Linked DNA regions of Saccharomyces cerevisiae S288C. The protein of the gene in region 1 binds, or shares a complex with, the protein of each later gene. Each region holds a gene or a part of one and is shown on either strand. Other genes may lie near its edges. A codon is read from its position in the direction of its gene.

Evidence for each region. The genes of interacting proteins can lie anywhere in the genome.
Region 2: the proteins of MTR3 (region 1) and RRP43 are in contact, whole or in part, in a cryo-EM structure (PDB 5G06), measured with the Saccharomyces cerevisiae proteins. Residues at the interface, in NP_011674.3 of Saccharomyces cerevisiae: Arg6 (codon at 1,238), Arg7 (codon at 1,235), Arg8 (codon at 1,232), Leu9 (codon at 1,229), Leu10 (codon at 1,226), Gly11 (codon at 1,223), Pro12 (codon at 1,220), Ala14 (codon at 1,214), Ala15 (codon at 1,211), Lys16 (codon at 1,208), Pro17 (codon at 1,205), Met18 (codon at 1,202), Ala19 (codon at 1,199), Phe20 (codon at 1,196), Ser21 (codon at 1,193), Gly51 (codon at 1,103), Phe52 (codon at 1,100), Ile53 (codon at 1,097), Glu54 (codon at 1,094), Asn55 (codon at 1,091), Cys56 (codon at 1,088), Ile74 (codon at 1,034), Tyr78 (codon at 1,022), Arg81 (codon at 1,013), Gln96 (codon at 968), Lys98 (codon at 962), Leu101 (codon at 953), Leu102 (codon at 950), Glu103 (codon at 947), Lys104 (codon at 944); in NP_009964.2 of Saccharomyces cerevisiae: Thr58 (codon at 1,514), Leu59 (codon at 1,511), Arg61 (codon at 1,505), Asp64 (codon at 1,496), Asn67 (codon at 1,487), Asp69 (codon at 1,481), Thr70 (codon at 1,478), Lys71 (codon at 1,475), Asn72 (codon at 1,472), Asn73 (codon at 1,469), Ile74 (codon at 1,466), Leu75 (codon at 1,463), Lys81 (codon at 1,445), Lys84 (codon at 1,436), Ile86 (codon at 1,430), Ile88 (codon at 1,424), Ser90 (codon at 1,418), Thr92 (codon at 1,412), Gly93 (codon at 1,409), Gly94 (codon at 1,406), Ile95 (codon at 1,403), Ile96 (codon at 1,400), Tyr131 (codon at 1,295), Pro132 (codon at 1,292), Val133 (codon at 1,289), Glu135 (codon at 1,283), Glu137 (codon at 1,277), Arg138 (codon at 1,274), Gly139 (codon at 1,271), Arg140 (codon at 1,268).

What each region holds. Positions count from the first base shown.
Region 1 is NC_001139.9:804,769-807,931, forward strand, and holds MTR3 (exosome non-catalytic core subunit MTR3), read right to left. Parts: upstream 1,254-3,163; coding exon 501-1,253; downstream 1-500. Other genes in the region: CHO2 (phosphatidylethanolamine N-methyltransferase), read left to right, coding at 1-281; NSR1 (Nsr1p), read right to left, coding at 1,644-2,888.
Region 2 is NC_001135.5:191,334-194,957, forward strand, and holds RRP43 (exosome non-catalytic core subunit RRP43), read right to left. Parts: upstream 1,686-3,624; coding exon 501-1,685; downstream 1-500. Other genes in the region: fatty acid elongase ELO2, read left to right, coding at 1-302; RBK1 (putative ribokinase), read left to right, coding at 1,964-2,965; PHO87 (SPX domain-containing inorganic phosphate transporter), read right to left, coding at 3,081-3,624.

The DNA.
Region 1 (3,163 bases):
CTACACCATTTGAAATTTCATTGCCGGTACTAAATACCACGACACCTGAACTGTTTGAGAAGGATTTGACTGAGTTTTTGACGAAAGTCAACGTTTTGAAGGATGGTAAATTTCGTCCATTAGGAAATAAGTTCTTCGGGATGGACAGCTTGAAACAATTGATTAAGAACTCAATTGGCGTCGAACTTTCGTCTGAGTATATGAGGAGAGTCAATGGTGACGCTCACGTTATTTCGCATCGCGCTTGGGATATAAAACAAACGCTTGATAGTCTTGCTTGAGTTTTTTTTTTTTGAGTATATATATTTAAAAAGTACTAGGATTCAAGTTAACATTTTGAATAGAAGTAGTTATGTTGTTGTAATATAATGGAGCTACCATATATGCAGAATGACATTATAAATTATGATGTTGATGTACAATGCCTTTGTGCGCTTCTTTTACCATGAATTTTTTCTTAACCTCTTTCACTTTTCTTTCCGACTAGGATAATCTCGTGTCTAAGTTTCCTGGTTCATTAAACAGCTTATCATTAAATCTCTATAACGGTTATATTGCTCCTTGCAACGATCAAGGCATTCCAAAAGATCTTCATCGTCACCATCATCCTTCCAAAAACCTACAATTTCCTCTCCATTTTTGATGAATGATACGACAGTGCCATTGGCCTCACCGGCACCTGCCATATCCACTAATTCGATGCCGGCATCAGCTAAGGCTAGCGTTATACTAGTGATACAATGTGGTATGAGAGATGATATTTGAGAAGACATCATTTTGCTTTGCGAATCGTCGTCCTGAGGATTATTTGTAAGATCCTTATCATACGTTAAATAAACGAAGATATCGATGCCGGACTTGGGGTAGCGAGATAGGTTTACTACTGAATTGAAAATGCCCATTAAAAAGCTGCTAACTTCCTTCAGTTCATTTGTGTTATATTTTTCCAGAAGACCGTTCTTTAACTGAATAGATATAGTACCTTGAGATGTGAAGGATCCTCTAATGGAGCGTGGTCCATAGACAGCGGTAATGAGCGATGTTTGGTGTCCTAAGCTTCTAGCTTCTACTAATGCAGATCCATTGCAGTTTTCGATGAAACCGGTATGTAGAGAAAGTTCCTGTTCACTTTCATTGCCTTTAGGTGTCAAATCTGTTGATTTCTTTTCTGGCACATGAGTAGTAGTGTTGCTAAACGCCATTGGCTTGGCAGCAGCAGGGCCTAATAACCTCCTTCTGTCTTGAACATTCATTTATTCTGATAACACCTTAATGTGAGTATGTTCCTACTTTTAAGTGGAGTATGTGCTAATCCTTAAAGGAAGTTTTCGTGGCTCAATCAAGCACAACGCCCAAGCTTTTATTTAGATATTCATTTCATATTACTGAAATTTTTTGAGTATTTTCCAAGGCCTTGTAATCTTCCGTATCTAGCGATCTCATCTCATCGTGAAAAAAAAAAGAGTAAGCCATTCGAAGAAAAGTTGGCAAATAGAGATGGTGAATGAAAGGTTTAAGAATGTATCCTATTTACTTACTAATGTACACAAAATATTATAGACCAAATTTTTCCTCAAAAATGGAATATAGTAATTAACGTAAAAAGAGAAAAAATTGAAATTGAAATTCATTTCATTTTCTCATTAATCAAATGTTTTCTTTGAACCAGCGAAAGAAGCGGTATTTCTTGATCTGCCCAATGGAGCAGTATTAGCACCAGAACCAGATGGTCTGAAACCGCCACGGCCACCGCGAGCGCCACCACGACCACCGAATCCACGGTTACCGCCACGACCACCGCCACGACCACCAAAACCACGGCTACCGCCACGACCACCATCGTTGTTTGGTCTTGGAGAAGAGAAGTCTAATCTAACTGGTCTGTTGTCAATGTATTCACCTTGTAAAGCGTCTAGAGCCTTCTTGGCGTCCTCCATGTTGGAGAATTGAACATAACCGAAACCTTTTGGTTGTTCAGTTTCTGGATGTGTTGGGATACGGACGGAAACAACTTCACCGTGTTTAGCGAATAATTCGAAAATAGCGTCTCTGTCAGCATTGAAAGATAAGTTACCCAAGAACAAAGTGTCAGATGGTTCAGATGGGGTATCACCGAATTTCTTGGCACGATCGTTGTTACCAGCTGGCTTGCTTGTGGACATATCACAGTTGATTGGTCTACCATCAATTTCCTTACCTTGCATTTCTTGAATGGCCTTTTCAGCATAAGATTTGTTTTCAAAATCAACGTAACCATAACCACGAGATCTATCGGTACCTCTTTCATAAATAACTCTGGCACCAATGACACCACCGATGTGTTCGAATTCCTTCTTCAACCATTCGTCATCAATAGACCACGATAGTCTACCAACGAAAATAGTAGCTGGTTCTTCGGTTTCTTCATTTTTTTGCTTCTTGTTGGAAGACTCTTCGTCTTCTTCTTCTTCGGCGTCCTCAGATTTACGTTTCTTATCGTTAGACTCTTCCTTTTCGCTTTCGCTATCAGAAGATGAAGATGAGGATGAATCAGAGCTAGAAGATTCTTTTGATTCTTCCTTCTTGGTTTCTTCTTTTTCTTCTTCTTCTTCTTCGTCGGAAGAAGAGTCAGAGGAAGAGGAAGAGGAATCCTTGGATTCTTCCTTCTTGGTTTCAGCTTCACTTTCGCTGTCAGAAGACGATGAAGAAGAGGATTCAGAATCAGAGGATGAAGATGAAGATGAAGATTCAGATTCAGACTCAGACTCAGATTCAGATTCAGATGAAGATGAAGATGAGGATGAAGATTCGGAGGAAGAGGAAGAGACGGCCTTAGCTTTTTCTTCTTTGGCTTGTTTGGAAGCCTTAACTTCCTTCTTGTTACCTTTTACTTTAGTAGTCTTAGCCATCTTATTTTATCCTGCCTGGGTTGAGTGATCCGAAATTGGTTAACAGTTCGTCTTTGGGAAGCAAAAGTAAGAAAAATACTACGAAAGGAAATAACTTAAGGTACCAATGGATTGGGAAGTGCAGACAGCAACAGCTACACTTAAGTACTTTTAATATTGGATTGAAAATTTTCGTTCTTGCGATGAGCTGCCCTTGCAAATTTTTCACCAAAAAAAAAAAAAAAAAAAGAAATGGAGTGAAAAAAGAAACGAAAAAAAAGGGCATGGGGACCCAT
Region 2 (3,624 bases), on another chromosome or scaffold:
TATATTTTGCTGTCTACCAAAAAGCAGTTCACTTGTATTTCCCAATTTTGCCACATTGTGGTGACTGTGTGGGTTCAACAACTGCCACCTTTGCAGGTTGTGCCATTATTTCTTCATATTTGGTACTATTTATTTCATTTTACATTAACGTTTATAAACGTAAAGGCACCAAAACCAGTAGAGTGGTAAAGCGTGCCCACGGCGGTGTTGCCGCAAAGGTTAATGAGTATGTTAACGTTGACTTGAAAAACGTTCCTACTCCATCTCCATCACCAAAACCTCAACACAGAAGAAAAAGGTAAGTGTAAAATCTTTGAAAGAATTTAAGTATTCAACTTTCGTATATTCGTTTTTTCTTAGTGGATCTATTGTTACTATTATCACTATTATTATATTGTAAAAGACCGGATGGTTTTGTTATATATTACATACACATGTTATCGTTGAAAAAAGTTTTCCGTTTCCTTTCGACAGTCATCAGATAATTTTATCCGAGTCTTTTATATGTTAAATCTTGTTGACAAATCGTCCGCTCTAACCCTAGATAACAACAATGATCTTTTTATCATTTCTGGCGTTATTTTAGCGCCTCCTCCCACTAATGTTAATTGCTTATAGTTACCTGAAGGAGCAGCGAGGATGGAGATCGTACTGTGTATACTTGTTTCTTCCGCTTCAGTATCTAGGTCTGCTATTAGCACAGTGTTCAATTTATCCATATCAATGTCCACTTCCTCTTCTTCAGAGTTATCAGAGTTTTGTAATTGGCATTCGGGGTCTAACTCCACTATCCCATAATTTGAAGCAAATGCAATATTCTTTGCGTTTATCATTAACGGTACTGACTTAGTTTGGTCGCAAATAATTTCATACGTTTCTCTTATGGTGGCACTTCTTCCTCTTGTTCTTATAGTCATTCTTAAATCGGACGCACGCTCATCTATAAATGCTCTAGGTAACTTTACGCTCTGTAAAGCGTACATCAAAGAATTCCAACACAAATCGAAGACTGGACCAGTGCGACTCAAGACTACAATTTTCGCATACAAAACGTATGACCATTTTCTTTTCATTTTCAGGTTTGTTTCATTCAGCGTATCATCTTCTAATTCATCGGGATACAAGACGGAAAACGTACCGTCTTCATTCGCACTACGAACACCAGCTTTTACCTTCAAGGCTTTTTTAGGCAATATCCTAGAGTGCAATATGGAATCGTGTAGTTTTTGTGATATAGTCATTTCTTCATCGGTGCAAGCGCCCACTCTACCTCTTTCAACTTCCACCACCGGATAGACAGAAGCATAATTTGCAATTATGTCCTCCTCTTTGGTCACTTCGAACAATTCTTCCTCACCGAAATCATCCAAATCTTTAATCGCGGCGCTAGTTTCTTCTATTATTCCACCCGTAATAGAAGTTATGACTATGGTTTTCCCACTTTTCAAAACATTTGAGCCTAAAATGTTGTTTTTAGTGTCTATATTACCAGCATCCGCATAACGCGATAAAGTATTATTTTCTATAGCAACATCTCTAAATTCTTCATATTTTCTTAGACATGGCCTGATTCCTAGGGATAAGTGTCTTTGTAAAGACAATTCTGGAGATATTCTCGCAAGAACTTCAGGTGGAAAAGTAATTGGGTGTATCTCAATAGTTTCTAACGTGGTACTTTCAGCCATTTCCAATATTAGATGCCTGTGAAACTACTGTCAAACTTATTTGTGTAACAATACTCATCGTCTAATTTGTCCATTATTGTTATATACTCTGTCATAAAAAAAGAAAGAAAAATCTTATACTTTCGTCGACTGTGATTTGAAAATCTCTCCAGATCAAACGGGAATAAAAGGGTTTATATCCGAAGGTGGCCAGAACAATCATGAAGCAAATAGGATAAAAATAGCCAATAAGATGTTTGTTGTCTTTCATCCCAAAGTTCCAACAGCATATTTCAAAGATGGGTATTACAGTAATAGGTTCTCTAAACTATGATTTGGACACATTTACGGATAGATTACCTAACGCTGGAGAAACTTTCAGGGCTAACCACTTCGAAACACATGCTGGTGGTAAGGGATTGAACCAAGCTGCGGCCATTGGTAAATTAAAAAACCCCAGCAGCAGATATAGTGTTCGAATGATTGGTAATGTTGGAAATGATACATTTGGTAAACAATTGAAGGACACTTTATCCGATTGCGGAGTCGATATCACTCACGTCGGTACTTACGAAGGCATTAATACGGGTACCGCTACCATACTAATTGAAGAGAAAGCTGGTGGCCAAAATAGGATATTGATTGTAGAAGGTGCTAACAGCAAGACTATTTATGACCCGAAACAGTTGTGTGAAATTTTTCCAGAGGGCAAGGAGGAAGAAGAGTATGTTGTTTTTCAACACGAAATTCCTGATCCTCTTTCCATTATTAAATGGATACATGCGAACAGGCCGAATTTTCAGATCGTATATAACCCCTCACCTTTCAAGGCCATGCCTAAGAAAGATTGGGAGTTGGTAGACCTTTTGGTCGTTAATGAAATTGAGGGTCTTCAAATCGTGGAAAGTGTATTTGATAATGAACTTGTTGAAGAAATAAGGGAGAAGATAAAGGACGACTTTTTAGGAGAATATCGTAAAATTTGTGAGCTTTTGTATGAAAAACTCATGAATCGAAAGAAAAGAGGAATTGTGGTTATGACTTTGGGTTCGAGAGGGGTGCTTTTCTGTTCGCACGAAAGCCCTGAAGTACAATTCCTTCCGGCTATTCAAAATGTTTCGGTTGTTGATACTACAGGAGCTGGAGATACTTTCCTGGGCGGTTTGGTTACTCAATTGTATCAAGGAGAGACCTTGTCTACGGCTATAAAGTTCTCTACATTAGCTAGTTCATTGACCATTCAAAGAAAAGGTGCTGCTGAAAGCATGCCACTGTATAAAGATGTTCAGAAAGATGCATAAAATCTACTGCAATTTTTTACTTTTAGTTTGTTAAATTTTAGTTTTCGTCATATATATAAAGTTTAAAAAGGTACAAAGAATGCAGTAATAAGAAATGTAATTACATGAGGGCAGTTTAAGTGCTACCTTTTAAGACGGAAGAACTAATACCATAACCGAGAGTAATTACGCAGACAAACGCTAACAACGAAGCAGGAACACCTCTGGAGATAAAAGCGCCTACAGTTAGCCATCTATTACCCTTTTTATCGGTCATAGAAATAGCAGTAACGTTTGGAAATCCAGATGAAGCCAACCCCATACCGCATGAGGCTAACAAGGCGCAACCGAACACAAGAATTGGAGCTGCCTTTGGATCGGATAATTTGTCACCAACTTCTTGCACCAAGGGAATAATGATGATTGCTGACACAGTATGTGAGACAAAAGTGCCCACAACTAACATTAAAATACCGAAAATACATAAGATAGCAAAAACACCATCGTTCTGAATTTTCTTTTGTAATGCTCTTGCAATAGTTACCAACAAGCCTGAAGATGAAACTGCCTTACCAAGGGCTATACCACCCATAGCAAGAACAACAATTGACCAAGGGAATGTGTTGAAATCCTTTGTTGATAGTAGACCTGTACCAAAAAACAGGACTATCGGTATTACT